Caenorhabditis elegans: one gene and its partner. The protein of the gene in region 1 purifies or fractionates together with the protein of each later gene. This does not show direct contact. Each region holds a gene or a part of one and is shown in the gene's direction. Other genes may lie near its edges.

Region 1 (4,922 bases):
AAATGCAAATCATATTTGACAAAAATTAAAAATTAATTTCCTATGATAACTTAGATACAAACCATGTGGAAAATTTTGTGTTTATTATGTTTTCTAGATTTTTGTTGTTTCCGTTTTATGTTAATAGCCTACATATGTTTTTGCGGAAAGCATAAAACTTGTAGTGTGAAAACAAAACGTGAAAATTTAGAAAAACTCTGATTGCTACCCGAATACTTCGAAAATTTCACACAAATATTCGAAAAATAACTTGAATATCCTTTTGTATGTGTGTTGTTGCAATAAATCTTCCCGATTGGAAATGCCTGCAGAAGCAGCATCCGAAAACGTGGCACTGGACAAAAATCTGAAGAAGCTGATCTCTTGGCTAACTCCGTCGAGATGTGTTCCCATACGTTGTAATGGGCGGATAAGAAACAACCGACGGACGGGTCCCACGACCACACACACCATACTCACCAACACCGCCATCACCAACAATTGGCGCCTTCAATGTGTCTAGAGTACATCTGTTCTTAATTTTTCTTCGACTCTTTTTTTCGATACCAGACGGATAATTTTGAATGGTTGTTTCAAACAAAGAGAATTCAAATTTTTTTGAGTGATAATTTTGAATTTTCATTAGTTACCATTGCTAATTCTTCAATAAAAATTACCTGGCGTTCCGTTCACACAGTTGAATAAAAACTTTTTTCAAATTTCAAGTAGGAAATTATCATTCATTGTAATTGGTTTTTAGATACTCATTCATTCAACAGTGCGTTTTTACAAGTTTAACGCTAGTTGATTTCCTGAAACTTCTGATTTTGATCTGAGAAAAACAAGTTTTTAATAAATTTTAATCCTTCCCCTTTCAATCATTTTTATCAATTTTTTATCAATATACACGAGATTCAATTAACTGATCACTTTTTCTCGGCTTTCTTCTGTTCCCACAATGATCTGATGCTCCTGCTCCATTTTGTTCTCTATCCATCACCTCTTCCTTCGCCTCTCCGCCCGCATTTTTGTGTTGTTGTTCTCTCTATCTCTCCTTTCCTGCTTCATCCCACTTCTTGATGTGCTTTGGCTCAATGTTTTACACTCTTCCTTCCGAAGCAAGAGGAAGATGAGAGAGGATCCCCAGTCAGAACGTGTGTAATAGTAGGAGAGCACCACAGAAAGTTGGACAACCTTAGGAGTGGGCGGCACTTTTTATACTAATTTTTTGTACTTACTTATTTTTATGCTTGGATATTATTTTTCTTGGAGTATTGTATGTAAACTAAATTAACTATACTCCAAGTTTTACAAAGAGACACCTATTTTGAAGTCCGACTAAAAGAAAACGTATGTCTAAATTTTAAACATATTTTGATAAGTCAGAACAAGCGGTTTTTTGTTTTTCACCCTGCTCCCTTCTCTTCCAAATTTTGCCATCAACAATTGCCAATTGTTTGGAAAGCCATCCCAGTTTTCAGCGTTCTTGCTTGATCCATCATCCTTTCTTTCTCCGGTTTTCAGTTTTTGAAATCTTTTAAAATGTCAGATTACCGTATTTTTGTTAGTAATATTGCCCCGGGGTGCTAAACTCTGAGATTATATTACCTGTTGACACTGGATCTTGCATATTTCTCCAAATTTAACAATCTCGCTCAAATCATGTTAATTTTTTTTCAGTAACCAATAAATTTTCCAATATTTCAGAAAGATCACAATACCATCATAAAATGGCGCCAGGAGGGGCGCCGAATGACGCCAACCTCAGCGCTGTAGCGCAAAGAGGACATAGTGAAGAGGGTGATAAATCAACAACAACACTATCAACAATTGCTGTAAAAGCTGGTGTCAATGCATCAATTGTAGTTGCACTTTTAAAGGTTGAAACTATTTTTATTAATTTTTTAAACCTAAATTCTTTAGAGTGCTGGTTATATCCAACTTCGTGTTGATGAAATGCAGCCGAAGCTACTTTCGATAGGAAATTCATCACAAGAAGCTAGAGATTTGCTCAACATCCATGATGATCTCATCAGAAGGCTTCAAGTGAGTTTCTGTCAAAAGTTGTATTATAATATATTTCTACTGTTCAGGACAAAGATGACCAGGTAGTAGCTCTCTTGAGTCGTGCCGACAGCCTCGGAGCAGAAAAGACGAATCCGAACGAAGCGATTGTTTACGACGAAATGGCGAAGAGTTTGCGGGAGGTTTGTATGCATTTCGGTTTTTTTAGTATTCTTACCCAGCTGCACATAAATCAGCCCATTAATCTGCGTAGTGTAGGAATCCAGACGGAATGCGTTTTCATGTTTTTAGTCTTCAGTACGACCTTAAAAATGTCGCATCTTCAGACGTGGAGATCGTTGAACAGACAACTTCTCCTCAGAGGATATATGCTCAGAGAGACTGTACAGTTTTATACATTGGCTGAAAGTCATGAAAAGGTTAGTTGATTTTTGAAACCGTTTTTTATTGTGATTTTATTAACTGCAGTTATCCAATGCTAAAACTATTGAAATTGTGCAACAAATCAACGAGCAAAACTCTCAACAACTTCAATCATCCATCGATAAGCTTATTAATGGTAAGCTTTGATTTTATAATAAGAAAAAATAAATCTGAAATTTCAGACATCATTGACACAACTGCTTCTGTAGTAGATTTGGGATCTTCCGTCATTTCACAAATTCGTACATTGGGACAACTTGATGACAATCCAGAGAGACCACAAGAGATTTTAGATGCATCAGTAAAAATTGAAAGTGTTATGTTGAGGTAAGCAACTTTTTAAAACCTAGGAATATAGTTCTGCAACTTTTTTTAAAGATCTAAAATTATAACATTTTATTTAAAAAGTAAAATTGAAGAGTTGCTGCTGATTGGGAACGATCCGAAGGACTTTGGCAGCAGCGAAAGTCGGGAGCAACACAACAAAATGCTACAACTACAACAGAAGATGAACTCGTTGTTATTGAACAATGGCTAACTTATGCGGAAAAGAAAGTCAAAGCTCTCAACGATGCTGGACAGAAAAATGTTCTTACTGAAGGAAATGTGGGTTCAATTTTATGTACCTGAAAAAGCAATTACACATTTCAGAAGCATGTATCCCGTCTTCGTCACCTAGCGCAGAGTCCATCATCAGACGGGGGACGTATTTCTCATCTTTCCGGTAGAATTGAGGAATTCCTTCATTATCTGAAAACCCGAATGAATCGATCACATCGAATTCACGCTTTCCTTCAAGCCGCAAAATCGATGGTATCTCAGTTGAATATGATGGTTGAAGACATGAAATGCGCAAATGCGGCTATGGCTGGAGAGCTAGCACCTTTGGCAAAGCAGAAAGCATCTCCTCTTATCCACGAAGGAAAGGATATCGCTTGTAAGTTTTCTAAAAATAATTAACAGGTCAATTATCAATAAAAAGAATCGGTAAAAATTATTCTTGCAGCAAAAGAAGTTCTGAGCTACGAAGAACAACGACTTGTCAAGCAATACGTTGAAGATTTGTCAGAAAAGTTGCGTGAGATAGAAGCTCTTGCAAAGCAAAGGAAAGAGTCTGGAAAGACGACTTCTCATGTACGTTACCATTAATTTATAATAACTTCAAAGGTTATAATTTCCAGTTCTCAAACATCCAATCATGGCTGGATGGACAAGCTTCTGCATTCTTAGCACAGAAAGGTGATATGGGTGGAAATTTGAATGATGCTCGTGATTTCGTTGTCTCTCATAAACAATTTGCAACTGAAATCGTCAACCGAGACGCTGACGTTATGAGTCTTCTCGCCAAGAAGCCACAAATGTCTCCAGATGAAGAACAACAACTGACCGATTTTATGAAGAAGTATGAAAAAATAAAAGACATTTCGGAGAACCGAATTCAAATTGGCTCCACTTACGAGCAAGTTCACAAGTTTGGAAAAGACCTTGAAGGTTCATTTGATGCTCTTCAAACACTTTTGGAGAACAATCAAGAATATACAAATGAGAAAGTGGCGGCACAAATTTCCAACGTGTTCCAGATGATTTTAGAAACTTTGAGTCAAGAGAAACATCAAGGTTTGTTACCATAATTTGGTTGGTATTTTTAAAACGTAATCTTTCAGCTGAAAAGTTCATATCAAATGCAACTCAAATCGGAAAATCAGACGAGTGGTTGAATATCCAAAGAGCTCAAGAAGCAGTTCGCAATATGATTACCGACCATGAGAACAGATTCAAATACGTTCAACACAAATGGACTGAGTGGCAGAGAGATAAGGTAAATCGATAAAATGTAGGATTTGCAAAAGTAATTTAAAAATTTAGAATGTACAAACCAAAGTTGAAACTGTAATCGAAGAGATTCAAATGTGGCAGACAGATGTTTTAGAGTTTATTGGAAAGGTCGATAACTCAACGGTCACAAAGAAAGAGGTATTGAATAATTTTTCACTGTAATTTGGTAGATTATTTATTGCTTCAGGAAGTTGAGGAGATTCAGAAGAGGATTGCTTCATTCAAAAGTGCTGCTGATATGCATAAATCAACATTAGAGACATTGAAAGAAGAAAACCAAAATGAAGAACAAATCAGTAGAATCAACGTTTTAATTGATAAAACTGATTACGTCAAAACACGGCTTGATCAGTTGAGCCAGAAAGTTGAACTTACCTCTTTGCTCAAAATTGTGGAAGATGTGCAAATATGGCAAGAAGAAATGGTTGAAATAATAAGAAACATGAATCAAGTTGTCACTACTCAATCCAACAACCAAGAGCAGTTCGAGCAAGTAAGGCGAAAAATTGAAGATTTGAAAGTTGAAGTCGACAAGAAGAGCGAACATTTGGAAGCATGCAAAACACTTTCGCATAGTTAGTTTAAATTTTAAAACATTCAGAAAAAGATTTCAATTTTTAGATGAGACATTCCAAACTCAGCTGCATAAAACAATTGAG
Region 2 (5,860 bases), on another chromosome or scaffold:
ATGTCTCAACGATTTACTATAAATATCTCGATCCCAACTTTAAAATAATTTTTTTTTTCTTATCGGCAATTAGCCCGAAATAAAATATCCGGCAAATCGGCAAAAAATGACTAAAGGAACTTCGCCAAAGTCAGCGTCATCTTTTGATCAACCTATTTTTTTCCAATTCTTCCTTCTGCCAATGACCCTGAAACGTCACTTAATCATTTTTTTTCACCCACAATATGATAAGATCACTGCTACGGCGACCTGTTCATCCCCAAAACTGTTCTTTATTCTTTCTAAACGAATTTTGGTCGTGATCTCTGTAAGCCAGAGAAAAATGGAGAAGTAGGTCGTTTTCCTGGTTATTTTAAGCGGTTTATTTCTCAAAAAATTTCATTTAGTACACGTGGTGCCAGGCTGTCCCATAAAGGCTTGATCTACAAAAAATGCGGGAATTTTTTGCCCGGAAAAAAGTGACGTTAGCACATTCTTAACCATGCGAAATCAGTTGAGAACTCTGCGTCTCTTCTCCCACATATTTTGTAGATCTATGTAGATCAAACCGAAATGAGACACTCTGGCACCACGTGCGCGCGCAAATGAGGAAAGCGCTGACCAATCAGCGAATGACAAAATGTGCTGATTGGTCGGCGCAGCCTTGGTTTGCGCTCGAATTTAAAATAGAAAACCTAAATTTTTTCGATTTTCCAATATATTCCGAGAAAAAAAAAATTTTTTTCCTTTTCAAAATTCCTTTTTAGAATTAGAAAATTGTAAAATGTTCTGTTAATTTTTAAAACATTTTTTTCGAATTATTCCGATTTGCTGTTTTTTCGGCAAATTCGGCAAATCAGCAGTTTGTCAAAAATAAAAAAAATCAGTTCCAGCAATTTGCGGAATTGCCGATTTGCCGGAAATTTCGATTCTGGCAATTTGCCAATTTGCCGGAAATGCCGATTTGCCGGAAATTTGCCAGAAATGCCGATTTGCCAATTTGCCGGAAATGCCGATTTACCGGAAATTGTAATTCCGGCGATTTGCCGATTTGCCGGAATTTTCAATTCTGGCAATTTGCTGATTTGCCAGAAATTTGGGAAACGACAATTTACCGGAAATTTCAATTCCGGCAACTTGCCGAATTGCCGATTTGCCAAAAATTTCAATTCCGGCGATTTGCCAGAAATTTGTCAAATTCCCAATTTGCAGGAAATTCCGGAAACGACGATTTACCGGAAATTTCAATTCCGGCAATTTTCCGATTTGCTGTGAATTTGCCGAAAATGTTGATTCACCGATTGGCCGGAATTTTCGAATCCGGAAATTTGCCGCTTTTCCGGCAATTTTCCGATTTGCCGTTTTTCGGCAAATCGACAGTTTGCCAAAAATAAAAATAAAACAAATTTTAATTCCGGAAATTTGCCAATTTTTCTCCATCAATTTTTCCCGGTTTTTCGTTGTTAGTTTTTTTCGGGACTACTATAATAATCCCAAGTCAACTTTTTTCCTTCAGTTTCTTGATAAACGTCTTCATCTCTTCATCTATATTACAATTCACTCTCTCTTTCTCTCTTTCTCTCATATTCTAACACTATAATTCTCGAAACAAAAACTCGGGTCGTTTGGGGTCGAATCTGGTTTATCATTCGTCATTAATAGACGACTTATGTCTTCAATTGCTTCCTCATTTACAATATTTTCTTTCTTTTTCCTTTTTTCTCTCTCTCTTCAATCTTCTTCTATTTGTTTTCTTACTTTTCCTTCCATTATTTGCCAACAATCCCTGCCAACCAGTCCAAAACCCATCACCTCTCCTCATTTCTTAAACATATTTCCCCAATTTCAGAGAATGTTCGGCTTCTTGTTGGGTACACTTTGTGTTTCTCTAGCTATTCTTGGAGCACAATCAGCTAAATGCACAGCTAAAAGTGGAGATATTAGTGCTCGGTGGCAGGTGAGTCATTTTGTTTGAGCACAACTCAAGTGGTTTGTTTAAACTGATTCTTGGTGCCAATCGTTTTGAACAACTATTATGGGTACACAAAATTCTGAGAATGCGTACTGCGCAACATATTTCACGCGAAAAATATCAAAACTACAGTAATCCTTTAAGTGGCTACTGTAGCGCTTGTGTCGATTTACGGGCTCAATTTTTTAATTTATTGAAAAATGTAAATTATTGAAATGATGTAACTTTTCGAAAAAAAAAAATCATTTCGAAAATCGAGCCTGTAAATCGACCTACAGTAGTCATTTAAAGAATTACTGTAGTTTTGATATTTTGCGCGTCAAATATGTTGTGCAATACGCATTCTAAGAATTTTAGTGTTCCCTTAATATATTTATTGAAAAACTAGAAAAAAGAAAAAGGCATGAAACTTTAGGGAAACGTTAGAAAAACTGAAAATGTTTTTTTAAAAGAATTAATTAAAAATAAAATATACCTTAAAATGTGCTTTTTGAGAATAATATCGTTATTGTGATGTTTCAATGACATTGAAACAATTTTCATTTTATCTGAAAAAATTTTAAAAAATACTTTTTTTTGAAAAATTTCAAAACTTTTCAGTCAATTTTTTCGCCTAAAACAATGACCATCCTAACACTTTGGAGGTAATTTTTGATTTTTTCTGCAAAAAATCTGAAAGGCTACAAGAAACATTTTTTGAAATGTTGAAATTGTGAAATTTCAGAAAAAACTAAAACTTAGAAAAAAATTTCGACTGGAAATTTTAAGCCAAAAATTTTTTTTTCCTTAAAATGGCAGAAAATAACTGGTAGGTAGGCATGAAGTAGGCAGCTTTACCCTACCCCCCAAAAAATACGGTGGCCGAGTCTTTTTTTTTTCTCGGCCACACTCAAGGTCATTTTATCAGATTTTATCAGGCCAAAGTGAAAACTGCGCAAAAATATTAGGGTTTTTTTTTCTCTGAACAAATCTGGTTTCTGATATCAATACTAAATAGTTTGCAGGCCCTGTGTCTTGTGCAGTGATTCCTTGAAAAAAAAATTGCGCGTAAGATATAATGTTTTCAGGTTGTGGATGGAGAATTAACTGTCGAAGTTACCACAAAAAACGTTGGAAACAATGAATGGTCAGCAGTTGGATTTGGACCTGATATGGTATGTAATATTACTTTCCCCTACAAACTACAAAAACTACAAACTCCAATTTGCAGAGCGATCTAATCGTTGTCATTTTCCAAGTGGTAGACTTTAAGCCAAGCCTTGTGACTGGAACGACTCAGGGATACGGAGCACCTGCACTCGATGCTTCTCCATCTGTCACTCTTCAATCTCTCGATTATAACAGTGAGTTTAGTACGCCGTGGCCTAGAAAATCAAAAACTAGGCCAAGGTGTCTTTTTCTAGGCCATGCCTTGTCTTGTTCTGACCAAGATTATTACGGGGACACTTACTGTCGAGAATGCGTACTGTGCAACTTATTTGACGCGCAAAATATCTCGCAGCGAAAACTACAGTAATTGTTTATCTGACTACTGTAGCGCTTTTGTCGATTTACAGGATCTCGATTTTTTTTTGTCATTTTTATGCTTAATTTTAAAATTCTATCGATCGATCCATTCAAAAATCGAGTTCCCGTAAATCGACAAAAGCGCTACAGTAGTCGGATAAACAATTACTGTAGTTTTCGCTACGAGATATTTTGCGCGTCAAATATGTTACGCAATACGCATTTTCGAAATTTAGTGTTCCAGTAATACCTTTAATTTAAAACTGTCGGCGGCAATACATCAAATTTAACGCGCAATTTTTTTTTAATTTCATCCGCCAATTTAAATTTGCGCGTAGAATCTGATGTATTGAATCGTTATCGCCAAAATGTACAAACACCGGCTACAATGCATCAAATTTCACGCGCAAAACTTCAATATTTGAATTTGCGCGTAAATTCTGATGTATCAGGTCATAGCTGTCTCTTCACTCCAAAACACCATATTTCACGCGCAAATTTATTATCAAATTATGTTTCAGGCAACACCCTCGTGGCTCGATTTGCTCGCCCAGTTGGCTCCCTCTCCACATGCACAACATGGAATGTAAGTTGACAAAAAATATCACTTCCCCCCCCCCCCCCCCACTTCTACCGTAACCTGTCCACCTACCTCCTCATAACACCCTGTTACAGTTCGTCACCGAAGGATCCATCGAAGACGGATCAATTGGATATCACAATGCTGCTCCACACACTGTGGAAATTTGTGCCAACAAGTGTACCCGCAAGATCTTTAACTAACTTCTTTCTCTCTTTTGCTCACTCCATTTTTATAATAATTTGGGATTCTGTTTTTGCTTGGAAAAATAAAAATAAACCTATGGCTTTGCTATCCAGGAACTCTCGGGTATACCAGAAATGCAAGAGTGCTCTACTGACAAGTGTTCTGTGTAATCCACGTGGAGAAAAATAGAAAAAAAACCCACAAAAATGACGATTTTGATTTTTAAAAAATTTCGGAAACACGGGGTTCTGGCCTTCCTCATTGAATTTTTCGCCCTCCATTGACAATCCTGCCGGACAACGCGTGGGAAAGCCGTGTACTCCACACGGACAAATACATTTAGTTTTACAACTAAAACCGAGCCGCGACGCGACACGCAACGCGCCGTAAATCTACCCCAGATATGGCCGAGCCAAAATGGCCTAGTTCGGCAAACTCTTCCATTTCAATTTATGAGGGAAGCCAGAAATCCGTAACGGAAACTCTGAAAAATTCGATTTTCCCGCCAAAAAAACTTGCGTGTGAAATCCGATGTATTAACTCCGCCCCTCTCAATGCACCATACTTTACGCGCAAGTTTTCAGTTCTTCAACGCCCAGCCATTAAATGGACCATCTGTGTCGAACCTCGGCAGCCCGGAAATTCAATTGACGGTATTAAAATTTTCATTTCACACGTGGTGTCAGAGTGTCTCATTTCGGCTTGATCTACTTAGATCTACGAAAAATGCGGGAACAGAGACGCAGAGTTCTCAACTGATTTCGCATGGTTAAGAACGTGCTGACGTCACATATATTTGGGCGAAAAATTCCCGCATTTTTTGTAGATCAAACCGTGTTAGGGCAGCCTGGCACCACGTGATTTTAACATTATTTGACATGATTTTCTTACAGGACGTGTGCCCGAATGAGTGTACAGGAGTATTTACGGAACGCGACGTGGCATATGATCCAGTACCACAGGCTGCCATATATAATAATAGAATTTCGAATCGATTCAACGGAATTTTTGATCCATCGGCTGCTTTTTAAAAATAACTTTTTTTCTTCTTGATCTCGTCAATAAATGTTTTATTTTTATTAAATTCGATATTTTTTTCAGAAATTGGAGGTTAAAAAAACTTTTTTCTAAAATTTTTAAATAATTTATCGCTTTTTCTTATATAAAACTTAATTTAAATGGTCATTTTATTAATATATTCGCAAATTCAGATAAACTATTTTCAAATTTCGCGGTCTGTGCATTTTGACGTGATGGTGTTGACGTACAGGTTACTGTAGTCACTTTTCTTCGTGGGTGGTCTTGGACCACCGATATTTTAGGCCAATCATCGATTTTTTTCGCATTTTTTGAGAATAATTTGATTTTTTTTTCAAATTAAATTAGTTTTAAAATTGAAATTTCAATTTTAATATATAAAATTCTTAATTTTTCATCTGGAAAATGAGAAAATTAGTTATCTTCGTGTGTGGTCTTGGGCCACCGAAGTTTAGGCCAATCAGCGGATTTTTAAATTTTTCGTGTTATTTTTTACATTTGTGTAAATATTGATTAATTATTTATTAAAATAATTTTGAAATTAAAATTCCAACTCTAAAATATGAAATTGTTAATTTTTCGACAAGAAAATGATTTTT

The links.
Region 2: the proteins of F21C10.7 (region 1) and Y54E10A.17 fractionate together in Caenorhabditis elegans (co-fractionation; one large-scale study listed by BioGRID). This does not show direct contact.

The regions. Positions count from the first base shown.
Region 1 is NC_003283.11:9,111,081-9,116,002, forward strand, and holds the start of F21C10.7 (Ig-like domain-containing protein), read left to right. Parts: upstream 1-1,686; 5' UTR 1,687-1,709; coding exon 1,710-1,859; intron 1,860-1,902; coding exon 1,903-2,025; intron 2,026-2,072; coding exon 2,073-2,186; intron 2,187-2,330; coding exon 2,331-2,423; intron 2,424-2,472; coding exon 2,473-2,563; intron 2,564-2,609; coding exon 2,610-2,754; intron 2,755-2,846; coding exon 2,847-3,033; intron 3,034-3,078; coding exon 3,079-3,364; intron 3,365-3,433; coding exon 3,434-3,561; intron 3,562-3,608; coding exon 3,609-4,044; intron 4,045-4,091; coding exon 4,092-4,246; intron 4,247-4,293; coding exon 4,294-4,401; intron 4,402-4,450; coding exon 4,451-4,838; intron 4,839-4,884; coding exon 4,885-4,922.
Region 2 is NC_003279.8:3,204,973-3,210,832, forward strand, and holds Y54E10A.17 (DOMON domain-containing protein), read left to right. Parts: upstream 1-1,789; 5' UTR 1,790-1,831; coding exon 1,832-1,936; intron 1,937-3,018; coding exon 3,019-3,105; intron 3,106-3,161; coding exon 3,162-3,294; intron 3,295-3,978; coding exon 3,979-4,043; intron 4,044-4,132; coding exon of another isoform or gene 4,133-4,240; exon of another isoform or gene 4,241-4,807; coding exon 4,808-4,876; intron 4,877-5,116; coding exon 5,117-5,254; 3' UTR 5,255-5,300; downstream 5,301-5,860.